Linked DNA regions of Nothobranchius furzeri. The protein of the gene in region 2 interacts with the protein of the main gene of each other region in a biochemical or structural test. Links are inferred from orthologs where the notes say so. Each region holds a gene or a part of one and is shown on either strand. Other genes may lie near its edges. The genes, in order: badb, bcl2b, fkbp8, probable nuclear hormone receptor HR38 and ppp2cab.

Region 1 (6,554 bases), on a different chromosome or scaffold from region 2:
TGTAAGCGGTAGTCTAACGCTATTGGTTAGTTCTGGTCGGCGCTCAGTTTCCCATTGCACGGAGCTCTGCGGGGCAGGGGGCATGCGTAGCAAAAAAAAAAAAATATATATATATATATATATATATATATATATATATATATATATATATATAAAGGACGTATTGCTTATATTATAGCACAGTACATAATGAGACAATCACTTTGACGGATTTCTGAAAGATTATACATAATTTCTGAAAGGGGAAAACTCGGGAAAGCTATTTTAATGATGACATTTTTGTTACCATTTGTTAAAAATCAGTAAATGTGTTTTGTCCTCAAGGGCTCCCATAGAAGAAAACATGGCATCGCCCAGTGACTTGGACCCGCTCCCATATAATTTAGACCAGATTTTTATGGTTATATGTTACCAAGCCACCAATATTTTTCAACAACTGGGCATCATTTAATTCCCCTTCAACAATATTTTGATCGATATTTCCAGAGATTGATGACAAAAACTACACATTGTCACTTTAAGGTACAAGAAATCTACTAAAACTGACCCCACTCGTCCCAGCTTTAAGAAAAAAATAATCTCTGTTTTTCCAAACTGAGGTTGTTCTAAGAGCCATCAGAAACCAACTTCAAAGGATTCAAACTCCTCCCCTAACCCTTTCACACCAATAACAAAAAGGCTTTTGTATGTTATGTATTTGGGGACATGATAGAATGTTTAACTTTTCATTCCAGCATCTCCATCTGCTCTTCAGTTATTATTAGTACAAGAGTAAAACATGTCCTACCAAGTGTTTGACCTGCCTGAATGCGGACGACCATCATTTGGTCTCTCGCATCAGCGCTCAGAACCGCCTGCCAACCAATCAGAACGCAGAACGAGATCACAGCGCAACACCAGCTGGGTATCAGAAAGGTGGTGTGTTTCCTCTCAGCTCTGAGTGAAAATCATAAAAAATGAAACGCAGGATGTGTGACGTCTGTACAGGCGCACGGAAAAACGGTTGGATCCTCTGGTGTCTCCATCGGTAGATGCAGCTCAGAGAACATTAATAACAAATGTGTATTTCAGACAAACTCTCAGACTCGGCTGTTGGGTAAAAGCTTGTCTTATTTATGATCTCCAACTCTTGTTCTGCTCAGAAATACAAACTGCAGCGTGCACACACCGTGCACGGTGTGTGCACGCACCATGCACATGCTTGAATCCGGTGTGTCAGTTGGATAAAGCCTGGAGAAAACAGCTGCACGGAAAATGGTCCTAAAGAGCAATTCATCACCAGCATCTCCAGTGTTTTCTTTCCCACTCTGGAAAGGAGCTCTGACCTTCTACACTTACACACACACACACACACACACACACACACACACACACACACACACACACACACACACACACACACACAGTGTTAGCACATGACCTTTGGGTTTAAAATGCCTGCATGTTTGCCGATGATTTGAGCTGATAAGATGCTGAACACTTGAAGACGTGCACTAATACATCGTAGTGAAATGAGTTCCTGCACCTTGTTCCCGTGGCGACAGCCATCCATCACAGCCTTGCTGTTATTAGTTTTATGTAGGTGTGGATTGTTCTGCTGATGTTACATCATCTCCTCAGTTTTGCTGACCAAAGTTTTCATTATATCCATCCATCCATTTTCTGAACCCACTTTGTCCACGTAGGGTCGCGGGGGGCTGGTGCCTATCTCCAGCGGTCAATGGGCAATCAGGCGGGGTACACCCTGGACAGAGAGCCAGTCCATCGCAGAGTTTTCATTATAGTTTAATAGAAATACGCTTCGGTACTTTCAAACTTTCCTGTTGTTTTTGTGTGAAATCGCTGAAACAGGAACTCACTGTGAAGCTCTACAGTCAGATTTAACGCCTCCTTATTCTTGGTTATGAATTTAGAATTTGAACGCACCCAAAAACAGACAAAAATATCATTAATTGAGCAGAAATAACGACGCCATTGGCCAGCAAACGGGTGGTGAACTAGTTCAGACAGTGGCCCAGATACAAGGAACAGAGAAAGGATGGAGAGATGAGAGGTGGAAGTGAAACCGTGAGAAAGGGGGGAAGAGAGCGGGGTGATGGGTGGGAATGGTGACCTTAGTGATGACATAAGTTAACCACAGAGGAAGCACTGAAAATGTGAACTTCCTCTTGATGGAAAAACCAAATTGTGTTTGTGAAGTTGTTCCTCTTCTCATCACTGTCCCACCTAAAGTGTAGAAGAGGATGGATAACCTACGTTTCTCGTGAGAGGTGGAGAGGAAACAGCAGCGTTAGCAGGGCCATGACAGATTTATAGTAAATTATGTGCAGCGATGCAGTGAGATTAGCAGCTTTAGACCATCATCCAGTCCTGCCCTGTTCAAGATGGCCGCCACAGTCAACAGAACAAGATGAAAATGCTTCTAACTCAGAGGATTCCACAGATATTGAGTCATTTTTCTGTGTGTGAGAGTCATTCACATCACACACTCCAAGCTCTGACATCGAGCATCAAGTCATTTTGGAGATTTGACCGAAACTCCATCAGATGATCAGAATGCATCAAAGGTTTGTTTCGGTGTTCAGAGTTCGTGTGTCTTTGGGTTATTTTGTTCTCGTGTTTTCTGCTTCTTCTCCCTGAGGTTTCCTCGGGTCGTCTCCGGCTTCTGCTTCCTTCTGTGGGTTCTGAGACCGTTGCTGGTACCCAGGCGCTTACATGATCGCTCTGGTTAGCTTCTTCACTTCCCGCCTCCTGCTTACAGGTCCGACATCCTCATCACTAAAGCGTTCAGGATGACTCATCACTTCGACTACATTCCTAACTAGGAACCAGTTTTACAGAACAGTCATGGAATGTAATGAAGTACAATTACTTTGCATTGTACTTGGATACTCCCACTTTTACTTAAGTAACTATAAGTAGTTCATTACTGTACTTAAGTACATTTTTTCTGTATCTGTACTTCATGTAACTAATTTTATTGAGGCCTACTTTTTACTTTGCTTTGTCCGACCCCCACCTGTACTCTACTACCACGCCGTACTGGAGTTGCAAAGGTAATTTTATTAGCCCCTCCCCCTTGGTTCCACAGAACACTTCTACACACACACCACACACGGTAAATGGTAAATGGCCTGTATTTGTGTAGCGCCTTTAGGGTTCTACAACCCCCCAAGGCTCTTCACAACACAATCAGTCATTCACACATCCATACGCTGGTGGGGATGAGCTACAGTGTAGCCACAGCTGCCCTGGGGCTCTCTGACAGAGGTGAGGCTGACAACCACTGACCACCACCAGCAGGCACGGTGCGTTAAGTGTCTTGCCCAAGGACACAACAGCAGCATTCTCTGGTCGGAGCCGGGATCGAACCTGCAACCTTCCAATTAGAACCTGCTCTACCTCCTGAGCTAGTGCTGTTGCTTATTTAAAGCTTCTTTCCGGAGTGTTTCTCTTATCCGATGGCACCATCTAGTGGCTGACGAGCGTATCACACAAAAACGCCATTCCTTTGTTTTATTTAAGATGGCGACTTCACGTTTCTGTTCATAAATGTGCTTCTGTAGCCGACAAACGGAGCTAAAACACGTTGTTTTACGAGTATTATTCTCATGTCGTGTGTTTTCATATATTTATATTTTAGAGACTTGCTTGTCGATGAAAAGTTCATCAACTCTGCGTCAGCCGAGGTATTCCTTAAATGTGAAGCGTCTAAGCGGTAGTCTAACGCTATTGGTTAGTTCTGGTCGGTGCTCGGTTTCCTATTGCACAGAGGCAGGGGGCGTGCTTAGCAAAGAAAAAAAAGATGTATTGCTTATATTTGATCACAGTACATGATAAGATAATCACTTTTACGGATTTCTGACAAATCATACATCGTTTCTGAAAGAGGAAAACTCCGGAAAGCAGCTTTAACTGTTAGATGAAGACTTTTGCTTTTCTACTTTTGAGTACTTTTGAAAGTGCATACTTTAATACTTTTACTTAAATCATTATCTTCTTGGATACTTCCACTTTTCCATAGGTTATTTTCTTCACCTGTTCATCTGCACTTTTACTCAAGTAAAAAAAAAATCAAGTACTCCTCCCATTACTGGTGCAGGTAGAATAAAACTCCTTTTAAAAACATTACTTTCATTTGCATTTCCTACTTAATTTTTATTGGACAAACATCGACTTTCAATAGTAAAATACTAATTTAGCTTTACATACTTGCCTTTCTTTTATTAGGCTACATTGCACAGATAGTCTCTTCTATAATGACGTTACTACTACTACTACTACTATTATTATTATTATTGGTTTTATTATTATTATTATTATTATTTAAAAAAAAATTTTATTATTATTATTATAAATATTATTATTAATATTATTTTATTGTTATTATTATTATTATTAAATTCTTATTATTGTTATTATATATTTTTTGTATATTTGTATGCTTTCACTGAAGTGCCAGAATCAATCCATGCTTCTAAGGCAGTTTCAGGGTTAGTTTATGGAAAGCGTCCTTCTGATGATGTGGGCACTTCCGAGAAGAACAATCTTCTGGATTTCTTGGACTGTTGGGTTTCCAGGAATCTGTTTTGTTCTCTTTTCCAGTCCCTTCTTGATGAGGCCAAGTGCACCCACTACGACGGGTATTGTTGCTGTCTTCATCCCCCACATTCTTGTGACTTCTATTTCCAGATCCTTGTACTTTGATAGCTTTTCAAGCTCCTTGGTGGTGACATTTTTTTCAGATGGGATGGTCATATCAATCATGAGGCAGGTCTTCTCTTCTTTGTTTTTGATGACTATGTCTGGTCTGTTGGCCATGATTTCTCTGTCTGTGTTGATTGGCATGTCCCACAACACTGCGATGTTGTTGTTTTCAGTCACTGTTGGTGGTTGGTGTTCATACCACTTATCTGCAGCTGGTAGATGGAAATGTTTGCAAATCTTCCAGTGGATATAGCTTGCTGCCCTGTCATGTCTGTGGATGTACTCAGTTCTGGCTAGAGTGGGGCAGCCTGAGACAATGTGGTCAATGGTTTCTTCATATTGGCTGCACATTCTACACATGGGGTCTGTTCCGTCTTTAATGATCTTGTGGTGGTATGATCTCGTTGACAGGCTCTGGTCTTGTGCTGCTATCAACAATCCTTCAGTTTCTGCCTTCAGTCCTGCACTGCGTAGCCACTGATGAGTATGATCTTGTTCTACATCTGCTTTTTTTACTCTCAAGGGGTATTGTCCATGCATTGGTTTTTCCTCCCATGTTTCTCTCATCCTTTTTTGTGCCCATTTCTTTGCCTCCCTTCTGGTCCTCTTGGCAAAGCTTGTCACTGTTTCTTTCTCTATTCTTGCCACCTCTGGGATGTTTAGTTCCTGTGCATATCTTATAGCTTCTTTTGTAACAGAGTAGAGCTTCTTTCGAGCTTCATGTTGACAAACGAGGATCAGTAGGGCATCGTCTGTTGTTTCAAGGTAGGTTTTCAATGCCATTGTTGTTGTTTTGTAAGCCATCTCAAGTTGTGTAAGTCCTCTGCCTCCAATCTGTCTTGGTAGATACATTCTTTCAACATCCGCTTTTGGGTGGTGCATTCTTTCAGAAGTCAGCAATTTTCTGGTCTTGGTGTCTAGTTTCTTTACTTCTTTAAGTTGCCAGTTGATGATATTAAAACTGTATGTAACCGTTGGAACAGCTAAAATGTTGATGGCTTTGATCTTATTTGCAGCATTGAGTTCACTCTTGATAACAAGCCTAACTCTTCTGTAGTACTCTTTTTTTACTTTTTCTTTCATGGTAGCATGTTGTATTCCATCTCCTTCATTAACCCCAAGATATTTGTATGTATCCTCTTGATTGAGCTCCATTATGACAGTCTCTTGGTCCAATTGTATGTTTGATGTTGATGTGAGTTTTCCTTTTTTGAATGTAACCTTTGCACATTTGTCAAGTCCAAATTGCATGCAGATGTCATCACTGAAGAGCTTGACTATTTGCAGTAGTCCCTCTTGTTGGTTATCATTTTTGGCATAGGTCTTCAGATCATCCATGTAAAAAGGTGGTTGATCTTCTTGCCTTGAACCTCATAGCCATGTTCACTGTTGTTTAGCATGGTGCTGAGTGGGGCTAGACATAGACAGAAAAGGAGAGGTGATAGTGAGTCTCCTTGAAAGATACCACACCTCACTTTTATTGGTCTTGTCTTGATGGATCTTTCGTCATAAGTGAGCATCATAGTGGTCCTCCATGATTCCATACTTGTCTTCATGAAGGTAATGAGAGTTGGTGAGATTCTATGAAGTTCCATTACTTTGATGATCCATGAGTGTGGTACGCTGTCGAAGGCTTTCCTGTAGTCTATCCATGCTGTACTCAGGTTTTTCTTCTTCCCCTTGCTGTCTTCCAGTATCATCTTGTTGATCAGGAGTTGGTCTTTGCTTCCATAACTACCTCTCTTACAGCCTTTTTGTTCTGGTGGTAGCATGTTGTTGTTGTCGAGGAAGGTGTATGTTCTCTCTGTGATAATACTTGTGAGAATCTTGTACATCGTTGGTAAGCA
Region 2 (5,387 bases):
ACATGGTTGTGGCAACACGGCTCGTTAACGTGTGGGTGAAAAGTTCCAGGAGCTGAAGCAGAGCACGCCTCGATCTCATGACATCCACCTGACATCCCTCCCTCCTCCCCTCTTTCCCAGCTTCCTGACTCCGCCGAGTCAGCCTGGAGTTATTACCATCCACACCTTTTTGGGAATTATCCGTCACATCTCTCGTGAATCTCCTGCCTGTTGCTGGCCCCCCTTTTGTTTGAGACTTAAATAGACGATAATCTATGGCGACTGTCTGGGTCGCGTCAAGGACACGTGCACCATGAGTTTGCAGTTGCGTTGAGCCTTGCTGGTGGTCAGTTGCATCCATTTGCTTCTGATTTGAGTTGTGGCCTTGGTTATTTTGCAGAAGTAAGTGGGAAAAGTGCTTGTCTCAGCTGGAGGTCTGGCTTAAAAGCTTGTCTTATTGATACCTAAAAACAGGCGGAAACATTTATGCTAAAAGTGGTTCAGAATGAAGGTTTCTGACATTTTACTTTTCATTTTTGCTGCAAGGCTCCAGATAATCACATTTTTTTTATTCCATTTGAAATATCCTATTATGTTTCCCATGTGTACGTTTTAGATGGAGTTTGACATTTTCTTATTATTCTAATAAACTAATGGCTCTTCTTCTCAATTTTAGCATCTCATTTGCCATTTTAAAGCTGTGGTTCACTGAAAAACCATTTTTAATGATTATTTCTGATTATAATCGGTCTCGCTGAGTTTTTCATGCTCCTACAACTACAATGCTCAGCATAAATGAGTACACCCCCTTTAAAAAGTACAAATTTAATCAGTAGATCAATGAACAAAAGAACAATTTCCAGATTTTTCACAAGGCTGGGTTTTATTGAACACTTGTTTAACTCCATAACATGAAATTAAAGTTAATAATATAACTTAGATCACAAAATCTTCAGTTTTACTGAAATTGGTTGAAGTAAAAATTAATACACCCGCAACAAAAACTACTACATCTAGTATTTTGTTTGACCACCGTGATTGTCAAGGACATCACCAAGTCTTCTAGGCACGGAATGAACAAGTTGGCGACATACTGCAACATCTGTCTGTATAGAATAACTTTTTTAGAGCCTGGATGCTGGATGGAGACTGATGCTCAACTTGCTGCTTCAGAATTCCTCACAGGTGTTGGAATGGGTTCAGATCAGGAAACATAGTTAGTCATTCAATCCCCTTCACCTTGTTCTTGTGCAGAAATGCAACAGCAGCTTTAGATGTGTGTTTTGGATCGTTGTCATGTTGGAAAAGTGCACGACGACCAAGTGCACCGAGTGATGGCAGCATCTTCTCCTTCAGTGTAGAGCAGTACGTTGTTGAGTTCATGATACCATCAATGAAATGCAGCTCTCCAACACCAGCAGCACTCATGCAGCCCGCATAAGGACACTGCCACCACCATGCTTCACTGTAGGCACCATGAAATCCTCACCTTCACGACACCATACAGTTTTGATACCATCAGTTCCAAACACAGTGATCTTTGTCTCATCACTCCAGAGTATAGAGTTCCAGTAGTCTTCATCTCTTTCAGCACGGGCTTCTGCAGTGTGTGCCATATGGTGTCACTCCAGTTGGGCTTTCTACAGCTTTAGCTAACTGCAGTGAACTTGCATGGCGATTTTCTTCAACCCTTCTCATCAGAAGATGCTCCTGTCGAGATTTTAACTACTGTGGATGTCCTGGACGTCTCTGTAAAATGGTGGCGCTTCTTAAATTTTTGGATGAACAACACAGACAGACTCTCATCAATGAGCCAGGAACTACATCTCTTATCATTATGGAGGAAAAAATTATTGAAAATTTTTAAGTAGAATTCCGATTTCCCAGCTGGGAACTTAGTTAGCATTTCATGCTCTTCTGCATTTTGCAGGCCCTTTGCCGCACTTTCCATCCTTCTGCAAAAAGGAGGAAAATTATACAGAAAAAATCAAACCTTTCATTTTGCATCTAGTTTTTAACTTAATGGAGGTCATTTACAAATTTGTTTACATCTTTTATTTTTTTACAGTAAGCAGCAAACAGCAGCACGTTACTCAGGAGATGGACTTGAATAACTCTGATTCATATTAATCATTTTTTATTCAGCTTGGGCCGGCCTTAGAAAAGAAAACAGACTGAAAGAACACAATTCCATTGTCGATTGTGCTGACAGCTCAGTTTTGTTTGATGCCAGTTCTTAAAACTGCTGGCACGGCCTCTGGTAATTAAACATACTCAAGAAGAAACCTGTGTGTGTGTGCGTGCGTGCGTGCGTGCGTGCGTGCGTGCGTGCGTGCGTGCGTGCGTGCGTGCGTGTGTGTGTGTGTGTGTGTGTGTGTGTGTGTGTGTGTGTGTGTGTGTGTGTGTTGGCACCAGAGGGTTTAAACATAGGGGAATCTGCTGATCCTTCCTCCCTTGTGTCACCAGACCCCAGCCTCAGGAATGCTGTGGAACGGGATGGGAAACAGGAAATGCTTTTGTCTCTCCGCAGCCCTTCGGTCTCACTTTTTTTTTCTGTGTGGCTTTTTCTTTCACAAAGCAGAAACTGTGAATTAGAAACATGCCTTTTGAACTGCTAAATAATAAACATAAACATAATTCAGTCGAAGTAAAATTTGTATTCCATTTTTTTTATCCCATCAGATAATAGGATCAGAAAATAGGATGATAACAGATTCCCACGAGAACCATCCTCATGAATCAAGGATTCACTGTTGTTCAGACTCAGATCAAATTACAGCTGAGAACAGAGACATCAGAGCAGCTCAGCTATTAATGTGGTCTTCGTCGCCCAAAAAAGGAAAAAAATTCAAAGGGACCTGCTGGTATTTCCTTCAGTAAACCTCTGAATGTTCCCTCATCGTAGTCTGAATAAAGATAAGCTGCTGGTGAGTGTGTGAGGGACTCAGCACTGTTACTTCCTGTCCAGCTGTTCCTGCTGTCACAGCTTGTGAGCATGCGTCTGCACTTCCTGGTCTCAGACATGCAGCTTTGGCATTTGGCACAGATGCTCCTTATGTTCAGTTACTCACAAACTCACTCATCTGCAGCCGCTGCATTCATGTGTGATCATCATTCCTCATCTGTGTGCAGAAAACATGGAAGAAAATTATGATAATTGCAAACATTAATGTTTTTCCTGTGTTTTGTTTGGTTTGGAGTTTGCATTTGAATGTAAAATGTGAGCTAGAAGGGTGTGAGAACTGACAGATAGTAATGGATCTGCCTATGCACACTCTATTTCCACCCATGCTTTGCAACGCCTCAGGGATTTTTATTTTAAAGGAAAGTTCCACTCAAACTGGAAAAAATACAAAAGACAAACCACAGTCTCCCCATTCTATGCAGCCATGCAGGTTTTACCTCCCTAAATAGTGAGAATTTGTTTAATTTAATGCAAAAGAAGTCACCAAAACAGCAAAACTGAAAATGTAAAAACATTTAGGGACCACAAGGGTCAGAGCATCAACCGATGCATCTGTAAAATCCTGTTCTCCTTCAGGAACTCTTAATATTTGCTGTGCGTCGAATCTGAATACAGAAAAACAGCTGTCGAACATTTTCATCATCTATTCTCGTGACGGGGAACAGAGGAGTCATGAATGAGTATCAAATATAAAGCTTACCTTGCCCCATAGTGTAAATGTCCATCTCTTGTAGAGGAAACATTGTTTCCTCCAGCGCCCGCTCCCCCACATCTCAAGCAGAATAAACCCTGCTGCATGAACAGAAAAGATCTGGACTAAACTGTCTGCAAATTCTGCTGAACGCCAGTGTTGGTGTGTGAACACAGATAATGAGTCACAGTCCAGCGCCCTCAAAGCAGACTGACTCGGGCTTCTTTAGGGCCTTTTAAAAGAAGAAATGCATCAAGAGTAGTTTTCTGTGCACTAACTCCTGCGTCTCTCGCCATTCCTCTTTCAGGGTGCGTTTGTGGACCTGTATGACCGACAGAAGGACTCCGTCTTCAGCTGCTACTGGCCGTCCATCAAGACCGTCTTTGGCCTGGCTGCACTCGGGGCGGCCAGCATCACCATCGGAGCGTACCTTGCACAAAAGTGATCGGGCTCCCTTCACTCTATCAGCTATCAACCCCGTTTCGTAACAGCGTGCTCCCTTTTCCTCTCGCCTCCTGTATTTTTATTCTTTTTGTAAAGATGCCCCCCCTGACCCCTCAGAGACAACCTTCAGACTGAATCTGGCTCTCTTCAAAGCCTCTCTGAGAAAATTCCTTTTCCTGCTGCACATTCATGTCAAAACAGACACAAATCAAAGGCAGCAGAGGGAACCAGGGGGCTCAGCCCGAAGAGCAAAGGATGTCTGAGGTGGAATCACACTAAGTTAAGGAGAAACGAGGAGTGCATGTCTATTTTGGGTTCATTTCATCCTGCTTGCTTGTAAAACTAGTTAAAGCATGATTAGTTTAGACTTTTGCATGTGTGGTTCTTTTTTATTTTTATTTGGAGAGCTTGATGGTCGGGGTGCAGGATCAGTGATGCCAGAAAGTAGACCACAGCAGATCCTCCTCTGCTTGTTGGGGTGAAGGATTCCCCCCCCACACACACACACACACACACATACACCCCATTTGAACTGTGGACTCCAGTTACCTCCCTACAGCCATCCTTCAAAGGACTTCCTCTGCAGAACAGCTGCTCAGAATGTATAATGGAAACGGCTCACTACAAGCAGTGCAGAGTGTGTCTCTACTGTTATGGGCTCCTCAGACAGCTCGGGTGAACTCTTTGCACTGTCACACTCTCCTGACCTGTAAAGGAAAACAGGAAGTCTCCGCTTTCTGTAGCAAAGTTTGGAATTTGTCATGCATGTTGATCCGGGTAGAGAGGTTTGCAGAAGAGTTCTCTTAAACTCATCTTTTTTTCGTTTTAAAGCATGCATTTCTCAAGCAGTGTGATGTGGAGAAGGCCACATGCATGCTATAACATTCAAACACAGCTCTGATGATCCACACAACCCCACCCCCTCAAAAAAACTCTGAAAGCTCTTAGAGCTGTTTTCTCTCTGCAGCAGGTAGTTTGAGAGCTGTCCACACACATCCTTCAGAGACTGCGTTGATGTGCACGAAGAAATCCCGGCGCGGCCACATGTGACTGAGTGGGGTTGTGGCGGCGGCAGCATTTCAGTTCAGGACTAAAAAGCCAACTGGAACCTGAGATGTCCCCATCTCCGCCGTCTGCAGGAGCAGCCAGGGATTGATCTGTGCTTCTCAGCTTGTTTTATTGATGTTTGTCTTGTGTTACGGTCTGATGGGAAAAAAAGAAAAAATCGGAAATGCTTGCAGTCTGAAATTTTTTTTTTATTAACCCTCTGGAGGCAGGCATTGCAGATTTGCTACGTTAAAACCTACC
Region 3 (6,321 bases), on a different chromosome or scaffold from region 2:
GGAAACATTTTAAATTAAAGAGATCAAAATCTAAAACTTACGAGGAAAAACTATTCACGTGCGTGATAGCATTGTATAGTTTGAAGCTCTCTCACTGATCCTCTCTCAGTCCTCTGTGTATATTGATCGTTGGCCATCTCTGTACTTCTATTGTGATGTATAATACTGTACCATTAGGAAGATTTGCTGGTCGGAGGGGGCGGGGGGTTGTGGTCATTTTGCTTGGGGGGAGGGGGGTTTAAAGGATGGGGATATAAAGGATTCTCCAATCACAGTCCTCTAATGACACGGCAGTATTCAATATGAAGCAGTCTGTCTCTTGGGTTTGCTTTGTATCTCATGGTAGGATAGTCGAGAATCTTGTCTTAGGGATTTAGCTGTCTTGTGTAGGTAATAAAGATGTTCTTTGTATGTTTCTTTTTATTGTAAAGTTCTTTTAGACTGAAAGAAAAACAGACAATTTGCTTATAAAAAAGAAACGATGCATCAATAATAAATGTCATTTGATTTTTTTTTTCCCTCTTGTTTGAATTTCTTTGTTTTCCTCACAGCAAGAAAGGTGGGAATTGATGCCGGAACTGATGACAAGGTACTATTCTGGAAGAAAACATTTGATGAAAACCAAATAATCACAAGTGTAGACATGATTTAAAAAAATGCAAATGTAAGCAAATTGGATATATTTGTACCTTTTTAAATCTGCTATTTATGACAGGTCTATGTGTCATTAAGTTTGCTGTTTGAAAATATCTAAAGTAATGGGTTTTTGGAAAATAATAATAAATATATGTGAATATTTCAAATTGTAATTTTCCACACGATAAACAAAAGGTCAGAGATGTTGCTTTAACACTAAATAATTACAGAATCAGGACTGCACCCAACTAGTAAATATTTAAGTGAAACCATGAAATTTCCTGAATTTTATAAACATACCTAAAAGGTAAGCATTAATATTGCTTATATTTGCAAAAAAAAATGGTTTCACTATATGATGTGTAGCTGATTGTTTTTCTAATTATTACTGTCCAACAATTATTCTACAGAAATGAAGCGTGATTTTGTAGACAGGTGGAAAAAAGCACATGCTCATAAATCAACCTACTACTACTATAGAAAAACATGGTTGTCCTGCTTCAGTAAAAAAGGCACTGAATGTCTTTTAAAAACCTGTGTAATCCTTTAATGCAATTTTGGAGGGTTTCAGAAGAAACTGACCCAGAAGCACAAATACCATAAATAATGTTATGTCAACCTAATAAATCCATGCATAAATTATTTTAAAATATTTTAGAAGTGGCTACAATCTTTCTTTTAAGTTTACTGAAACATGTGGCAGCCTAAAGGTGAAACTAATAGAAGCCAAAGATTCAGTTCACGCTGTCAAATGTTTTCAACTATAGAGAAAGGCAATTGGGATTTTGGCGTTGACGCGGGTTTTGAAATTTCATGTTGCAGAGCATGATTAAAAACGTGTCCATATGCTTTGAGAATATTTTATTAACATAATCAAATTGGACAAAATAATGTTACATTTATTTAACATTTACTGCTGGAAATTAACCCGGGCTAAAATAATGCATATTTACCTACATGAAATATGTAAATGTTCATTAGTATGCAATGTCCCTTTACAAATAACAAAAATTCAGTCATCTATTCTTCTTCTTCTTTTTCTTCTTCTTCTAATTATTATTATTATTATTATTATTATTATTATTATTATTATTATTATTATTATTATTATTATTATTATTATTATTATCTACTTTTACCTTTTTAATTAAGGAAAATTACTAGAAACTCCAAACTGCTGTCGTTTCCATGTTAGTGAGGTAAAATATTAACTTGCACCAAGGGGGAGCTCAAGGTTAACAGGAAGCACAGGGCTGAAGTTCGCTTGCTGCTGAACATATCAACACGCGTACTTTTTTTTTATTTTTTGGGTCCTCCGCCTCACAACGACGTGATGGGAATTCCGGCTCTTTTTAGAGAGCCGGTCTTTTTGGCTCAGCTCACCAAAAAGAGCCGGCTCTTTCGGCTCCCAAGTGGCTCCTCACATTTTCTGTTGCGTAGAGTATATTTATAACCAAAAAAAATGCTAAAATATATGTAACATGATTTACTAATGTAAAAAATTGCAATATATAAACTATTTATCATTTGAATGGATTTAATAACTGAACACTTTAAGAAATCTCCACTTTCTGACTGCTGGCGCTCATTTTCTCACCGTCTTTGCCGCACTCTCTCTCTCTCTCTCTCTCTCTCTCTCTCTCTCTCTCTCTCTCTCTCTCTCTCTCTCTCTCTCTCTCTCTCTCTCTCTCTCTCTCTCTCTCTCTCTCTCTCGCCTTTTTCCTCCTCCTCATTCCCTCTCGTCTCCCTCCACCCGCATGTGCTCTGCTGTGTGTCTGAGTCTGATCCTCCCTCTTCCCCGCCCCTACTGCTCTGTGTGTGGACAGTCTGGACACGCAGTTACACATGTTGACCAATTGCCTGTGGCGTTCACCAAAGCAAAAGGGGAGGGGACGGCTCCCAATGACGAGCCGGCTCCCGTCGTTCACTTCAAAGAGCCGGCTCTTAGAGCCAGTTCGTTCACTACCGACACATCAGTACAACGTTGAACTGACTTCACTTTGAGTTTAACGAAGGGACAGCTCAGGACCGAAACAAGCCCACTTGGAGGTTTGTTGTACTTTATTTCGATTAACGCATATACACTTTGACCCACTCTCACTGCATTGACGTGATAAACCCAATGGTTTATCGTATAATAGAGTAAAAACTCGTTATTATCGTTTAGTACCTGTATTGCTTAACCGGCTAATGCTACTTGCATTAGCAGTAGCATGCTAGCCGCTTGGGCATTTAGCTGGAGGAAAACTTGTTAAAACTTCTTGCTAGATTTGTCAGGGCACAACAGTTAACAGGTAGCGTAATAATTAAATTTGCGAAATGTTGCCACATTGTTTGCTAAAATTAAAAATAATAAATAGACGTTAAAGGAGGTGTTGGGTAAACAGTTGTGTAGCTATCATCATGTGACCTATCACAGTGTTTAACGTCGACTTGCACATAGTTGAAGGCTTTTTTTCCTCACTAGGATTCAGCACATACACAGTTTTACTTTTCACAGAAAGTGAATCACTTCAAGCTGTTTTCTGTTTTCCTTAATCAGGTGATGTGCTGAGGACTGAACACGTTTGAGAATGGAGTCTTCAGCTGGACCTCCTGCTGCTAAGAAGCATGGACAAACCTCGTTGCTGGACAGCGGGGAGGACTTTGAGGTGTTGTGTGATGAAGACATTTATGACGACCTTCCTCCTCTGGAAGATGCCGGGGGTGGAAACAGTAAAAAAACAGAAGATGCAGAAAAGAAAAGGGTTGAAGATCCAGAACCTTCTGGCAACATTGATGAATGGCTAGATGTTTTAGGTATGAGGGAAATGTGACAAAACCAGACACATTCTTACAGACAACATGCTAATAGTTTGCATTTGTATGTTGTTTGTATGTTTTCCAAATATTTAGTGGCATTCACAGCAGAAGCTAGAATTCCATTACTGTATAGTTATGAACATTTAATGGTTCCGTTATATGTAACCAATTTTATAAACAGATCTATCTGCTGTTAGGTAACGACCAGCTGAAGAAAAAGGTCCTTGAAGCAGGGAAGGGACGTGACAGTCGGCCTCACAAAGGACAGGTCGTAAAGATCCATCTTAAAACACACTTGATGGATGGTACACTTGCACAGGAGCTATGTGATCTCGCTTTCACTCTGGGAGATGGTGATGTCATCCAGGTAAAGAAAAAGAAAAACTCAGATGATTGGTTGAATAGGTTTTTAATAATATATATATATATATATATATATATATATATATATATATATATATATATATATATATATGTGTGTGTGTGTGTGTTAAATTTGCATGTAAGTCATTAAAGCAAAAAACACTTTAATCTATTTAGGCACTGGATCTGACAGTGCAGCTTATGGAAATTGGAGAGAAAGCACTCATCCAGACAGATGCAAAATACGCATACGGTGTCCGAGGAAGGTAGGAAACATTTTGAAATGCTCCTGAACAGTCTGCCACGTTAGGGCCATTATATCTAGTGTTATTAGTTCAAAATGTAGACATGACTTTCACGTCACAGTTTTCAAACCAGAGATGTTTTGAGGAAATATTAAAGAATTGGACATTGCAGGAGAGAGATGCTCACAGTTGTCCCCGACAGCTGATTGTTGAATTAATGCTTAATGAGTCTGGGATGTTTGTGGTTTCTTCAAAGATTAGAAGTTTTATTAAGCCAACACTTAAAACAATGGTGTGGTGAGGAAGATCAAGCCTGTGGATAATAACAATATCGGTTCATATTTGCTCTGAAGCTATGCCTTTAAAGCTATATTTACCAGTGTGTCTCCTCCTAACACTGTGCTCAGTAAATGTGCCTGCATTTGGTTGCTGAAAAAGAAGGAAACATGACAGTAATATCTGTGAACTGTCTCCTACGGCTGGTGTCCCTGACTCTGTCTCCTGCGTCCTTCACTTCCTAGTCTTGATCCTGACATTCCGCCAAATGCTGAGCTTTCCTTAGAGGTGGAGCTGTTGGAGGCTACAGATGCACCTGACTTGGAGCTGCTTCCTCCCTCGGAGAAAATAGCCCTGGCTGTTCAGAAGAGGGAGAGGGGGAATGTTCACTACCAACGTGGGGATTATGCTTTTGCAGTCAACTCATATGGCGTTGCCCTGCAGATTACTGATTCTTGTTCCAAAGGTAAGAAGCATGTGCAGGAGTCAGGCAAAGCTTTATATTTCCTTCTAAAAGAAAAGATATTAACAAGATACTAACAGTTGATTTTTCTTATTTTGATACATAAGGACTCTTAACTGTTTATCATGTTTCCTTGAGCAGTTGACATCAGCCCCGAGGAGGAGAACGAGCTGTTGGATGTCAAAGTAAAGTGTCTAAACAACATGGCTGCTTCTCAGCTGAAGCTGGACCACTATGACGCAGCACTGAAGTCTTGTGTTTCAGCACTTGAACATCAACCAGAGAATATTAAAGCACTTTTTCGAATGGGCAAGGTGCTCTTTGCTCTGATTCTTTCATGTTGTGTTTCTCAGACTCCTCTAACCTGTTGCCTGCTGTGTGTTTCTGCTTTAGGTTCTGGCTCTGCAGGCTGAATACACAGAAGCCATTCAAACTTTACGGAAGGCTCTGAAGCTGGAACCAAGCAACAAGGTACATTTGGCCTTTTATAAAACGTCTGGTAAACTACACTCACTGGCCACTTTATTGTGTACACCTTGCTAGTACCAGGTCCCTTTTGCCTTCAGAACTGCCTTAATCCTTCGTGGTATAGATTCAACAAGGTACTGGAAACATTCCTCAGAGGTTTTGGTCCATATTGACCTGACAGCATCACACAGTTGCTGCAGATTTGTCGGCTGCACATCCATGATGCGAATCTCCTGTTCCACATCCCAAAGGTGCTCTATTGGATTAAGATTGGTGACTGGAGGCCATTTAAGTACAGTGAAATCATTGTCATGTTCAAACAATCAGTCTGAGATGATTGGAGCTTTATGACATGGTGCATTATCCTGCTGGAAGATGGGTATACTGTGGTCATAAAGGGATGGACATGGTCAGCAACAGTACTCATGTGGGCTGTGGCATTGCAACGATGATCAGTTAGTACTAAGAGGCCCAAAGTGTGCCAAGAAAATGTCCTCCACACCATTACACCACCTCCACCTGAACCGTTGATACATGGCAGGATGGATCCATGCTTTCATGTTGCTGACGCGAAATTCTGATCCTACTTTCCGATAGGGATGTACCGATGAAACGGCATTTGATCCCAATCGGCCGATAGCGCCCCTATCGGTTTTGATCGGACTTTTCAAAATAGATCAAAGCAGACCGCTCAGGTAGGGTTGTCACGGTAACCAGTGTAAACCCCGGTAGAAAAAGTTGACAATAATAATAACCGTCTTGTTTTAAAAAAAACTATATTATCTCGGTGGGTTACCGTGGCTGCGGTGTAGGCGCGGTGACCCTTACCAGCCACCGTATCATCTGCTGAAGTTGCAGGACCGGCGGCACATGCGCACTTTGTTGTTTACGACCAAAACTTTCTTGAAGCTAAAGCTGAAATAATGGCCTAAGGAGGAGACGGCAGCGCTCAGGAGGACATTTATTATCCCCCAAAGAAGACAAAGTCGGAAGTACGGGCATTTTTGGATATTTGAATGCCGAAGGAGTTTATAGAAGATGGACGGCTATCCTGTTTGCAGTACGTGC
Region 4 (6,250 bases), on a different chromosome or scaffold from region 2:
ATAAGGCCTGGAGAACAGCAAAACCCCTAGAATGCTGGATGGCACAGCCTTTTCTCCCAGATGTTGTTCATTAGTGGGACTCAGGTCAGCTGTGCTCATCAGCAGCCGGGAGGAGAGGAGGAAGAGGGGCGGAGTCTGGGCTGATCACCAGGGCTGGGTGATCCTGGCTCCTGGATCTGAAGAGGCCAGGCTGGTGGTCCTAACAGTGTCAAATGTTCATCATGCAGGTGCACATTTTACACTAAACCAATTCACTTTCAGGAGACTGTAATCAAAGTATGTCTGGCTACACTTGTTACAACATGATCCTTTCTTAACCATGTGATAGAGCTAATTAAACGCTGCAATGTTGTGAATGTGAATCTGCACTTCCTCACATATGCAATGAGTGTTCTAGTGTGACGGAAAGTGAAAAGGAGATTGGATGTCCTGTTTGATACACATACGCATGCTTTAAAGAGCGTTAGGCTCAAACCTCTGTAATAGTCTCTTGTAACTTCAGGCTGCCTGGGCAGATCGCAGCTCTCAGCTAAAAGAAACACCGCTTCCTTTCTTTACCCTTTTGGCCCGCGTACAAAAGGGTCTCCTGAGAGGCTTCAGGACATGTTAGTTTGTCTGGTTGTTTTGGAAATGTTATGACATAATGGGTATTAGGTGAAGCTTAAACTGATGCTGACAAATGAATGTCAGCAGCTGAAGTGGTGACATCCATACTGGGGATTCTCTAATGATGACATTTCAGCACCGATGGCATCTCCCATCTCCAGATGGGTGTAGTCGTCATATTCTGAGAGACAGAGAAGAGATCTTAGTTTCTAGTAGGCTACATTTCATGACATGACTTCTCGGTCATTTTAAAGCCCCTTAACCTTTTCTTATTCTGGTAGAGCTGCGTGTAAGTAGACCGGATCACATGGGCTAACAATTGTGGAAGTCATAACCCACTACCAGACTCAATCAATAGTGAAGTAAATGTGATGGCTTTCACTCAGCAGTAACTTCACTCTAGCAGCAACAGTAATACCATACTTCTATGAGCAAAGATGCTCTTATAGAAAGAGATGGGAATAAAAATTTAAATGAAACAACGTCTTTATTTGTTGCATTGCATTAGCATTGCAATGCATGTCTTAGCTGCAACACACACACACACACACACACACACACACACACACACACACACACACCTATAATCTACTGTACTAAAGAGAAAGCATTTATTAATTGAATTTTTTTTTGTGATTTGGAAAATATTTAGACATATAACCATTGTAAAACGTGTTCCTATATTCCAGCAAATGTGCAGCTAAGGACCTTGTTGGATGTGCGCCATGATAAATATTTCTCCAGTACTGACTGATATTCATTTTTACAATACGCCATCCTGCTTAAAATGTCTTACATTAATGTAATCAAGATGTTTCCTATCATTTGGGGTCATTATAAAAGATGAGGAAGACTATTTTTAGAAAAGATAATGGCACAAAACACACACGTGTGTGTGTGTGTGTGTGTGTGTGTGTGTGTGTGTTCATATTGCTTTGGTTATATCTGTCTTTCTCTCTAAAATGCGATAAAAGACATCAAACTTAGAAAACTACCCCAAAACGTTGATTTTCCTGCTCAGTCCTCTGATAACACGCCAAACTGTCTAAAACGTGCATTAAGATTTACATTTCCATTCACAAAAACGTCTGTAACTGAAAAATTGAGCTATTTTTAGCCTTTATCATTCAATAATAGCCCCACGTGAACGCCTGTGGTTATTTTTAGAATAACGTACATTCTCGGCTCCTGCGTCAATGGAATCCCGAGCGTGCGTCAGACGGAATAACGTCTAAGCGTCACGCGTTCACCTGATTGGCTGCTAATCCGGAACGTTTCACCATGTTTGGGCATAGGCCCGCCCTTTTTGTTGACGAGGTCATAATAAAACAAGAGTGTGTGAAGCCGTCTGCGTTGGTCTGACCCAGTGAGTGTGTGTGGATGTGTTTGAGTGGGTGTGTGTGCCGAAAGCAGCTGGAGGAGCTGAATTCATCCGTTTCTCTGCTTTGGAATTAATTAAAAACTTCAAGATTCGGATTTTCTCATGCAACAGGTGAGTTACAGTCAGTTGTCTGAGACAGGAGAGGTGTAGTGTTACAGATGTTTATTCCGGCAATCAAACGCAACACAAACCTGAAACACCAAGGTATTCTAAGTTATTGTTGAAACTGTTTAATATAGAAGGGATGTGTAAATAGTGGTGTCATTTCCAAGGCTAAAGCTATAGGTTTAGCTGAAAGTTTATTCATTGAAATGTAATAAAAAGGCTACTCACCAGTCAGTGAAGCAAATAATTGTATTTAAGCAACAATAAGACTGTCTTGGGGTTAAGGCTGGTTCTTTATTCATGTCCATCTCAACTGTATGTGTGCATTTGCCAAAATTATGCCAGTTGCCAAATACAGAAGTATTTGTAAAGGCACAATCTTCATATGTTATTCAGATTCTCTTCTTAGTGTAGTTTGGATTGATGTGGTATAAAAATAAGTACTTATCTTAGCTTATCTTTCAGAATTTGTTGCGTTAACAGTCACTTACCCTTAAAAAGGTAAAAACAAACACCATACTGCTGCTGTTAGCTTTAGTTATGGTGTTTTAATGTGACTTCTATAGTAGAGAAAATAGGTTTGGGCTGGATAAGACACGTGGAGCATGTCATTTACTAAATGTAAAAGCAAAAAAATATTTATCACATTAAGAAAACTTTATTTTGATAACAGAGTTAAAGTTTTATTCTGAAAGCGACAGATTTTTATCGGTTGTGCTTCACTTGTGAAATGTTGAAGTGAGCACACAAGTGGATACACACCCCTCCACACACACACACACACACACACACACACACACACACGTGCTTCATCACCCTTGCCATTGCAGCTGGCATTCATCCAACCCTGAAACACAATCTGAAGCACACTGTGGCACAGCCGCTGTGGAAGAGGGTTGTCCTCCACTGAAGGAGGTTTTCAAAGCATTAACAGCCAGTAACACAATATCTGACAATATCTGAGCGCTCCACTGGACCACCCTCTGCATTTTCCAACCAGGACCGACGGGGCCTGAAGCGAGAGAAATGGCATGCGGGGTGAAATGAGACCGAGCACATTCAGGGTGCTAACATTGGCCACTGTTTGCATGGTTACAGAGGAAGAAACCGTTTTATTTATTGTGACAAGAAAGTCATAACCTTAAATGTCATGTAGAAATTTGTCAGGTTGCATCAAATTGAAATTACATTTTTTTTAAAGAAGCATGGATTAACTTTCCTTTTATAATGCATCTGTCCTTGTTTATTACTGCAGTAATATTTGACCTGCATGGTTAATTTCTTCAACTCTCTTTTTCAGCAATGCCCTGTGTACAAACCCAGCTTGCATCTCTGCCCCACGACAACTACTTCAGCTCTGAGCTCTTGAATCCAGACCTCAGTGCCACACTGGTGATGGAAATCACTGGCCAGAAGGACCAGTTTTCCACATCGTCCCTGCCCAGCATCAACACCCTTGTTGGAAATGGTTACACCAGGGAGTTTGATGCTTACACCTGCAAGATCACCACCTCCCCTCCCACCTCTGCTGTGTCTTTCAGCCACGCTGCAGCAGCTGAGAGCTCCAGCACACAGATGCAGAACCAAGCCTTCAAGCTGGACGACCTCCAGGTGTACGGCTGCTACCCAGGATCTTTCGCTCTCAGCTGTCTAGAAGAAACACTCTCGTCATGTGGCTCTGACTACTATGGAAGCCCCATCTATGGAACTGCTTCTCCTCCAACGTCAGGCTTTCAAACAGAGTCTGCACCTGTCTGGGATTCCCCTTTCAGCCCCTTTCCCCCGGCCCTCCAGACCTCTGTGGATAAGAACAGCATGGCTCAGCAGCAACTCTCATTTTTTACAGTCAACCCTGCACAGGATCAATATTCTCCTTTGGGACAGCACCAGGATGCCCCCAGTGGACAAGATGATCCGTTCTTCCTGTCATCTCAGCAGCATTTACCCCCAGTTCATTGCCCCTCCATGTCTATGGAACAGGGACCACAGGAAAGCCCCAGAATATTAGAAGGGGCCATGATGTCTCCTAAAAGCACAGGCTTAGGATCCAGCGAGGGTCGCTGTGCAGTTTGTGGTGATAACGCATCCTGTCAGCACTATGGAGTCCGCACTTGTGAGGGATGCAAAGGATTCTTCAAGGTAAAAAAAAAAATGTAGATTTACATTTTAAAGGGAAAAGTAGAACATTTCTATTAAATCCAACTGAAATTAGCACTAAATCATAATTATATCATCATGCATCTTTAAAAGTCTGTACTAATATTATATATATGTAGATATTTTCACTTCTTCAATATCTTTATTGATCCAAACCTAAAAAAAGAATCAGGTATTGTTTGAAATTGAATGTTTAGTTACTATTTGATGAGGAAGTATTCACAGATGTAGGTTAAAACATAGCAAAAGCTTTTGCTTTTAAAAAAAGAGCTTAAAGGTCAGATTTGTGTTTATTGTCTCAGGGTTATTATGCATCGTTGTGCATTCAACTCTTTTTCTCTGTTTTCCAGCGAACTGTCCAGAAAAATGCAAAGTACGTGTGCCTTACCAATAAAGACTGCCCAGTGGACAAGAGGAGGAGAAACCGATGCCAGTTCTGTCGTTTCCAGAAATGTCTTGCTGTGGGAATGGTCAAAGAAGGTGAGCAAATCTTAAAGCATTCAAGAGTTTGTGTTTGATGACAACAGACTCAGGATGTCAGGACAGTGATGGGAAACCAATATTTAGCAGCAAACCTGATTTTTACTGTCTAGTTGGGCAAAAAGTGGACTGAAACTGGTACAGAGGTAGTTTAATTAATGTTCACACAATTATGTTGGTATCCTAGTTGTTCGTACAGACAGCCTGAAAGGTCGCAGAGGTCGCCTGCCCTCCAAACCCAAAACTGTGACCGAGGCTTCCTCCACCACTCCCAGTGTGAACGTCATAGCTTCTCTTGTCAAGGCTCACTTAGACTCCGAGCCAAGCAACGAGAAGCTCGACTTCTCCAAGGTGAGCTCGCAGTCTGCTGTACTCGATGTTGGTTCGACCGGTCCAGCGATGAAGGGCCAAAGCTGTGAAGCGTCGTTAACTCTTCTTGGTTTTTCTTCACAGTTCCAGGAGAAAATTAATCATTTGAAAGAAAAAGAGGATGCCGGTGATATCCAGCAGTTCTACGAGCTGCTGACCGGTGCCTTGGACATAATATGGAGCTGGGCTCAAGCTATCCCAGGATTCACAGATTTCTGCATGGAGGACCAGGAGCTGCTCCTTGAGTCTGCTTTTGTGGAGCTCTTCATCCTTCGCCTGGCCTACAGGTTCGCAAGAATAGTTAAAAAAGAGTATTTACCTGCAATAGTGTGCACCTTTACGCACTATGATGACTCTAATGGTTCCTAACTGTTCAGGTCAAAACCAGAGGAGGACAAGCTGATCTTCTGCAATGGCGCCGTCCTGCACAGAAAGCAGTGTGTCCACAGCTTTGGTGGCTGGATCGACTCCATCATGGAGTTTTCTTCTAGTCTTCATCGCATGAACTTGGACGTCTCCCTGTTTGCGTGTCTTTCAGCACTTGTCATCATCACCGGTAAGGAGCTTTATTCATTTTCTTAGTTTTTTTGTTTTTTTGTGATGTTTGTATTTACGTTTCTGATCTTTGGCACGCAGACCGCCATGGCCTCAAAGAGTCCAGACGAGTGGAGGACTTTCAGAGTAATCTCATTACTTCTCTGCGGGAACACATGTGTGGGAGTGGATCAGAACCAAGCCGGACACACCCCAACTATATTTCCCGTCTACTGAGCAAACTCCCCGAGCTGAGGACTCTGTGCACTCAGGGACGGCAGCGCATCTTCTACTTGAAACTGGAGGACCTGGTCCCTCCTCCACCGATAGTGGAGAAAATTTTTATGGATTCGCTGCCATTCTGAACACAAAGCGACCTGTGACATTTAAACGTGTTTATGATGAACTCTAACCAGCCAGAAAGCACACAGACTTTTGGACTGATGCGTCTTCTGAGACATCTACTGAAAAAAACGTTGTTTTTATTTGTTGCTTTAAGTTTGAGGATTTACCGCAAAATGCTCTTTAGCACTACAAGAGAGTGCTGAACTCGGCGTTTCAGGACTTTATCTTTTCTACATATAATGTGTGCAATTGTAAAATGACTGTTGGTGTGCT
Region 5 (6,405 bases), on a different chromosome or scaffold from region 2:
TGGATAAGCGGATGAAGATGGATGGATGGATGGATGGATGGATGGATGGATGGATGGATGGATGGATGGATGATGGATGGACGATCTCAAGAAGAAATACATGCCAAAGTTAAACAAAAAGAAAAAGGACAATATTGAACAAAAATACCTTTTCTTTATTTTCTTACGATTCCTTCATCAATTGTCCAGTGCCCATGATGTGGTGAGAGTCCCTTAACCCGCAGAGCAAAACCAAAGAAAATACAGTTTTGTTTTGTTTTGTACTTGAATTTCCGTCTTTGCAGCCTCAGCCAAATATTAGAAATTCGAAGGGGGGTGATTGACGTTATTGTGAATATTAAAAAGAGAATTTGTTGATTTTGTATTTTGTCCTTTCCTCTTAGCTGGCCACATGCTGACCACATAAATAAACATGGACATATCAGAGAAGGATGTAAGAAGTCAAGAAAATTCAATGTTTTTTTTTCTAGGAAATATTGTTTGATTTGATTTTTTAAGTCAGTGTCACGTAAAAAAAATCACTGAAAATGAACAAATAAAATGTTAAAACCGCATAATTTTAAAAACATAAAAAAATGCTCTAAAACAATTTATCACACAAATATAATGATTGATATGGCAAAAATAAATGCATTTTATTTGTTTTTTTATCTGACCATAATGCTTAAAGTATAGTTAGAAATGTATAAGTTATGCCTGTAATTTGTAAAACAAAAGCAAGTGCAAAGAAACTGCATGTAAATCAGAAGAATGTTTTAATCTTATGTTTACAGCACCATGACCACGCCCCTTTCATCTAATGTGGACTGCATCGCCTGATGCAACAGATATTTCGAGAGTATTCCAGAAACACAATGGTGCCATCATCTGAGTAGTTTTGTTAAATGTCATTTAGCAGATACAACAAAGTACATTTAGAATGTAAACACAAATCCATGTAACTCGGTTTACAGATGTGGCCGTTTTTCTGTTGGACTGTTTTGTGTGTTTGTCACTACCTGAAGCACGTGGACACAGTGTAAAGCTTAATTTTTATATTGTTTACGCAGCCCAAATAAAAGGACATCATACACAACATACTGAATTCATATCGTAATTCGAGTGAGCAGCGGTGACGTATTCCCTAAAACGAGTTGTAACTTGTTCTTTGATGAATGAGGAGCCAATGAAATTGCAGAGGAAGCTGCTTTGTGAACCAATCACTGAGCTGCTATCATCGGCTCGCCCTGCTGTACGTGAAGTTGGACGTAAACCTAGACCGGAAATGTAAGATTTTATTTGGAGAATAAAGGTTTAATACAAAAGGGAACATTAAAATGAAATAAAAGCTATTGTATGTCCCCAAATTACTCTAAGTAAGAAACAATGGGTTATCTTTTTTCTCAGCTAATCTTTAAAAAAGGTATATTACAGATTCATAATTGGTATATAGCAACTTTTGCATAATTAAGAAGAAGAAAGGTTGTTTTATATAGAGCCTTTATAGCTAAAAATCACAAGGCACTTCACAAGCTCTATAAAAATGTAATTGAAAAAAATATATACACATATATTTTTCTTTATATATAAAGAAATTTAAAATTAAAATAAAAAACAATATTATTAGACAACCACAACTCTGATTCACTGTTCTGTCCTGCTAAAAGACATAAATAAATAAATACAAGCTATGTCATTGTCATGTTTACACTGGAAAGATCTGTTGCATCGGGTGATGAAAAGGCGTTGTGACTGTAATGTTAACATGAGATTTTAAAGCTAATTTTAAAAATCATTCTTCTATTTTGCTCTTTTTCATGTTTTATAAATCACAAATTTCTAACCACTTTAAGGATTAACATATTGTTTACAACTAAAGTAGATGTTTACAATGATAAACTAAGAGTTATTATGCAAGACTGTGTACAAATTTCAGTTTGAATTGAAAAGACTTTAAATTTTCTGACAATTATCTAAAAATGCTTTACTGACACATATCCTGCCATCTTCTCTGCTTTTAAGATACATTTTGAAGCAATTTGAAAAACAGAACAGTCTTTTTAAAAACTCATTTGGTTGTTATGTAGCTTATTTTAAATTTGAATTCACAGTAACGACGTGGTGCTTTTATTTAGAAAGTCTTAACCGGAACTGCTTTGTATAACAACAAACGACTTGATACAAGTGAATCGCCGGCTGGCGCTTCTCCCTCTTCTTCAGTTGTTCCCTTCAGTCAAATCGTAGCGATCTGGAAGTGGATGCATCTGCTCGCTGAGGGTCCTTTAGCCTCTGCTCTGCCCGGCTTGTAAACTCAAAAGAGTAGGGTCTCAAAAAACGGGTAGCAGAGGCGGGTTTTTAACCAAACTACACGCCGCTTCGGTAAGGAAACACAAAAAAAAACAGCAATGGACGAAAAGGCGTTCACGAAAGATCTGGACCAGTGGATTGAGCAGCTGAACGAATGCAAACAGCTATCCGAAGGACAAGTGAAGGCGCTATGTGAAAAGGTGAGATGGAAATAAATTGTTATAAAAAAAACTAACATTGTCTGCAACAGCTATCGTCGTTCAGACATTTTTAAAATGGCGTCGATAGTGTAGATTTCATAGTGAGGTGCGTTTTTTCATAACTTTAGGCTAGGCTACATTAATTACAGCCGCCTGTTTGGATCGTTGCTAGCTTAATTCCAGTCACACAGCATATTTACATCCCTCCTCATCCTATAGACAGCATCCGCGTCAGTTACTGAACCCTGGGAGTAACTCAGCCTTAATGGATAAAATATGTTTAAAAACAATATTTTTATCAGTGCCGCACAAACATGAACTCGATAATTAATTTTATTTTTTTTTCCAGAGGATGTGAAGTTATCCTGTTGGCATGATCTGTTTACATGTTTTTTTATTTATACTTTCATTGAGACAGTCTTGTCTCATTAAAATTAAACGGTACACTATTTTTGGGCAGAAACTAGAGCCTAAAAATAGGTTTAAATTGATCTCACGGGCCTCTGGGATCTATTATTTTAGTCTGACAAATCAATTCAAGCATCTTTATGTGGTTGTTTTTGTGCTCACAGAAGCTCCAAGACTGACGTTTGACCTTTCAGCCACTTCACTGGTGTTTATTTATTTAAGCCAGTTTCTTTGTGATAAGTAAAGGAAAAATTAGATGTAAGATTTCTGCATTGGCTAAATCCAAGTCCAAAAGTCCAACACTGATTCCTGCAGTTTAAAGCCATCCATCCTAAAAAACCTTTGCAGATTTCCAGATCTAAATGATGACCTGATGGGCTAGTGGGAAAATATCAGCAATGATCTTTAATCAGATTCTCTAATAATGCTTTTGTGTTATTATGTTGATCTGTTTTTTGTTCATGTGATAAAACATGCAGGGTTCCAGAATATACCGACAGAAGGCTACGTTTGGATGGGCTTTATTTATCTTTTTACCTGCATCTAGTCTCGAGCAGATCATAAATATCAACATTTTTTTTCTAGATCAGCTGTAATGTTTGCTTCCTGTAGTTTTAAAAATGTCCCCGTTGCACCGTGGGCCAAGACCTCAGTCTCCATGGGTCTGGCCTCAGCTGTGACTCAAATTACTGCTTTGTTTTGTCTCCGTCCGCCAAAAGAGATGAGGTGTTTTGGTTTCATTTATTTTTTATCTTAAAGTGATCGGTTTCATTTAGTCCTTAAAACAACAGAAATGGAGGATATGTTTGGTTTAATGACAACCATGAGGTCAGTTGAACCCCCCCCCCCACTTCATCCACCCCTCCATCTTTTCTCCTGTGCACTTTTGCTAAAATTTCCAGCAAAACACCCACACAACATCCTCCTCACTTTAAAAATAGCAGAGGATGTGATTGATTGTGAGTTGCATCACCAGCAGCACCATCAAAGCTTTGTTGCTACGGAGATCAGACTGTGAGACTGAGGACAGCAGTGTGTTGTGACTCAGAGAGCCAGCCATCTCTGTTATGGGATGTGTGTGTGAAGGAAAGTGATGTGCTATGTAATCACTTCTCAGTCATTTTCTTCCTTTCCAGCTTTCTCAGCAAAAACTGCTGCAGTTTCTTCCAGTAGGTGGCTAAATAATGAAGTTTTATAGTTCAGTCAGCTCTTGGTGGCCTGAATATATCTGGAAAATTAAAAGATTAGTGAATCAATTGGTTAATTACATAGAGAAAATGTGTTGTTCCCCTCTTGGCGATCTTTTTTCTCGGTTAAAATAAAATTAGTTGTCATAAATAAGCTCTTTATTTTTGCCTCACGTAACAAAATGCAAAATTCAGATTTCTGTCCCTATTTGAGTGCAACAATCATGTGGCATCACATAAGGTCAGACAGTGATGTAATGTGTCGATGGTCGCCCTACCTAGAGTACCTCTGCGGGACCCGTTTCAAGACAGAAGCAGTAAGAAAAGCCGTCTGTAGGGCGGCTAAAGCAGTTTAACCTTTAACCACAGTCATCATGTGTGACATCATCATTTCTGGTTGCAGTTTCTCCTCATCATCGGGTGTTATCGCTCCAAGTTGTTGTGTGGAAACACTTTGCTCGTTTTAATGGGATTGCTCTTACTCAGAAAACGCTGACTTGGTTTCTCTGTGCTTGCGCGGTTTGTTGACTGACGTCGTTTTGGGCAGAGCTGGAATTTGGCAGGGCGTGCCTCGTCCTCGCCGCTCTGGCAGGTGTGGTTGGAACTTTAGACGAGGTGTTTACGTAATGGCTGTTGGTATTTTTTCTACACCTGGATTGACATCATCATCATCATCATCATCATCTCTCGTAGATGATGAAGAGATTGAAGAAGAAGGTCACATCTTCATCCAGCTTTATGTAATCTCTGATTAGAGCTTAATCCTGTGCGGTGTTTTATTTATTATTATTATTATTTTTGTGTTGATTGTTATTGCGTTATGTCATCCTAACAATCTAATTTTGAGAAGGATGACTGGTTTCATTTAGTTTTTAGGCGATTGCCTTTGTGTTTTTTAAAGCTGCTGAGTCATCAGGCTTTTGGTTTAAAATGTAACCCAAATAAGCTCGAGGGGAGTGATCGATGGAGTTGTGCCATTGCGACCACCAGCAGCTTCAGCTGCACCCAGGGGTCCAGTTCGACAGGGATTTCTTAGTTTAGCAGCGATTATAAAATTTACACAGAAACGAGCTTCGAAAACATCCCCAAAGTCCTTATTTTTTGAGTACATGTATCGTTTCTGCTCTTTTTGAACATCACCTGATTTCTCCGTAAGCTGAAACGACCCGAGGGTTTCCAGCAGGTGTTGATGGACGAGTTTGGCTCAGAACCTGATACGTTGGACTTAATTAAAGCTCGTCTTCATGACTACGGCAGCGTCAAAGATCCCTTTCTAATGTTCCATTTCGTGCTGACGGCATCATGAGCCATGACACCGACGTGAACTCGTAGACGTAGATATGTCTACGGTTTGACTAGGATGAGGAACCCAGACAGATCCACTTTATCTCCTGTCGCCTCATCCATTCAAAGATGGGTCCTGTGTGTTTGTGTTCCACTTTCATCCAGACACCTAGAATATTCTTCTCTGGCTTAGTGCCTCTGTTTGCTTTAGAGATTTGTGGCTCAGTGTGGCCCCCGAAGCCTCCTGCCGCACGCCGGTCGGGACACGTGGAGTTTGGATGCAATGTAGGTCAACGTTGTGCAACGCTGCAGCGCCATCCTGGCCCGTCTGGGTTTCTATCCCATCAGCTGGCCACCAGCCAAGGAACACACTCGTTCTCTGGTTTGTGAAGGGATCCACGGTCACACAGCTCACAAAAATACTCAGCAAACGGCCAAATTCCGGGTGATTTACCATGAAGGTAAAACAATCGGAAACATAAAAGCAGTCACAGCTGGAGGTTACCAATCAAGCCAACTGGTGGTAAATCCTGTCTTATTTTAATGGTGACTTCCTCTGGCTCTGGCTGTAGGCCACATGCTGAGTCATGCTCTGCAGCAGCCAGTCAGGCCCCTCTGATGATTTATGGGTAAAAATAAAATGCTTTAATAATCCAGAATCACATTTATTTTTCTGAATTTAACACGTTAATCTAATTTGTCTGATCCGATGTGAATTAACATCAAAGTGAACCAAAACTTTTATGCAAATCCACTAAAATTTATTCTGCACTTGCCTTTTAATCTTCGGAGGATCACATTTATGGATTTTTAGAAACGTTGCCGTGCAGCCAGAGCTGCCCGTCCGGGCACCACAGGGTCGCCCCACAGGAAGCTAGTCGCTGCATCAAAATGCTATCAGCCCCGCTCCGTGTGCAGCATCCTGATGAGACGTGATGGAGGCCGTTGTAAGCGCTAGCAGGAAGTGGGCTGTGCCTGAATGAAGACAAAAAGAAAATGGTGGCCTTTGCCTGGCTTGTGCAAGTTTTAATTCTCTAATC

What was found.
Region 1: the proteins of bcl2b (region 2) and badb form a complex in vitro, tested with the Homo sapiens proteins (5 studies listed by BioGRID and IntAct, with this or other methods). The link is inferred for Nothobranchius furzeri from reciprocal best matches to the Homo sapiens genes BCL2 and BAD.
Region 3: the proteins of bcl2b (region 2) and fkbp8 form a complex in vitro, tested with the Homo sapiens proteins (4 studies listed by BioGRID, with this or other methods). The link is inferred for Nothobranchius furzeri from reciprocal best matches to the Homo sapiens genes BCL2 and FKBP8.
Region 4: the proteins of bcl2b (region 2) and probable nuclear hormone receptor HR38 form a complex in vitro, tested with the Homo sapiens proteins (2 studies listed by BioGRID). The link is inferred for Nothobranchius furzeri from reciprocal best matches to the Homo sapiens genes BCL2 and NR4A1.
Region 5: of the proteins of bcl2b (region 2) and ppp2cab, one has a biochemical effect on the other in vitro, tested with the Homo sapiens proteins (2 studies listed by BioGRID, with this or other methods). The link is inferred for Nothobranchius furzeri from reciprocal best matches to the Homo sapiens genes BCL2 and PPP2CA.

The regions. Positions count from the first base shown.
Region 1 is NC_091754.1:60,853,556-60,860,109, forward strand, and holds the start of badb (BCL2 associated agonist of cell death b), read left to right. Parts: upstream 1-2,543; 5' UTR 2,544-2,567; intron 2,568-6,554. UniProt on the Homo sapiens protein: Promotes cell death. Successfully competes for the binding to Bcl-X(L), Bcl-2 and Bcl-W, thereby affecting the level of heterodimerization of these proteins with BAX. Can reverse the death repressor activity of Bcl-X(L), but not that of Bcl-2.
Region 2 is NC_091751.1:52,828,339-52,833,725, forward strand, and holds the end of bcl2b (apoptosis regulator Bcl-2), read left to right. Parts: intron 1-3,942; coding exon 3,943-4,080; 3' UTR 4,081-4,180; downstream 4,181-5,387. UniProt on the Homo sapiens protein: Suppresses apoptosis in a variety of cell systems including factor-dependent lymphohematopoietic and neural cells. Regulates cell death by controlling the mitochondrial membrane permeability. Appears to function in a feedback loop system with caspases.
Region 3 is NC_091748.1:52,426,333-52,432,653, reverse strand, and holds the start of fkbp8 (peptidyl-prolyl cis-trans isomerase FKBP8), read left to right. Parts: upstream 1-2,553; 5' UTR 2,554-2,685; intron 2,686-3,178; 5' UTR 3,179-3,209; coding exon 3,210-3,435; intron 3,436-3,635; coding exon 3,636-3,805; intron 3,806-3,978; coding exon 3,979-4,067; intron 4,068-4,567; coding exon 4,568-4,788; intron 4,789-4,926; coding exon 4,927-5,099; intron 5,100-5,178; coding exon 5,179-5,256; intron 5,257-6,321. UniProt on the Homo sapiens protein: Constitutively inactive PPiase, which becomes active when bound to calmodulin and calcium. Seems to act as a chaperone for BCL2, targets it to the mitochondria and modulates its phosphorylation state.
Region 4 is NC_091743.1:50,512,556-50,518,805, forward strand, and holds probable nuclear hormone receptor HR38, read left to right. Parts: upstream 1-1,961; 5' UTR 1,962-2,098; intron 2,099-3,392; 5' UTR 3,393-3,394; coding exon 3,395-4,231; intron 4,232-4,599; coding exon 4,600-4,729; intron 4,730-4,916; coding exon 4,917-5,080; intron 5,081-5,182; coding exon 5,183-5,385; intron 5,386-5,475; coding exon 5,476-5,654; intron 5,655-5,734; coding exon 5,735-5,997; 3' UTR 5,998-6,226; downstream 6,227-6,250. UniProt on the Homo sapiens protein: Orphan nuclear receptor. Binds the NGFI-B response element (NBRE) 5'-AAAGGTCA-3'. Binds 9-cis-retinoic acid outside of its ligand-binding (NR LBD) domain.
Region 5 is NC_091750.1:60,015,497-60,021,901, reverse strand, and holds the start of ppp2cab (serine/threonine-protein phosphatase 2A catalytic subunit alpha isoform), read left to right. Parts: upstream 1-2,229; 5' UTR 2,230-2,384; coding exon 2,385-2,486; intron 2,487-6,405. UniProt on the Homo sapiens protein: Catalytic subunit of protein phosphatase 2A (PP2A), a serine/threonine phosphatase involved in the regulation of a wide variety of enzymes, signal transduction pathways, and cellular events.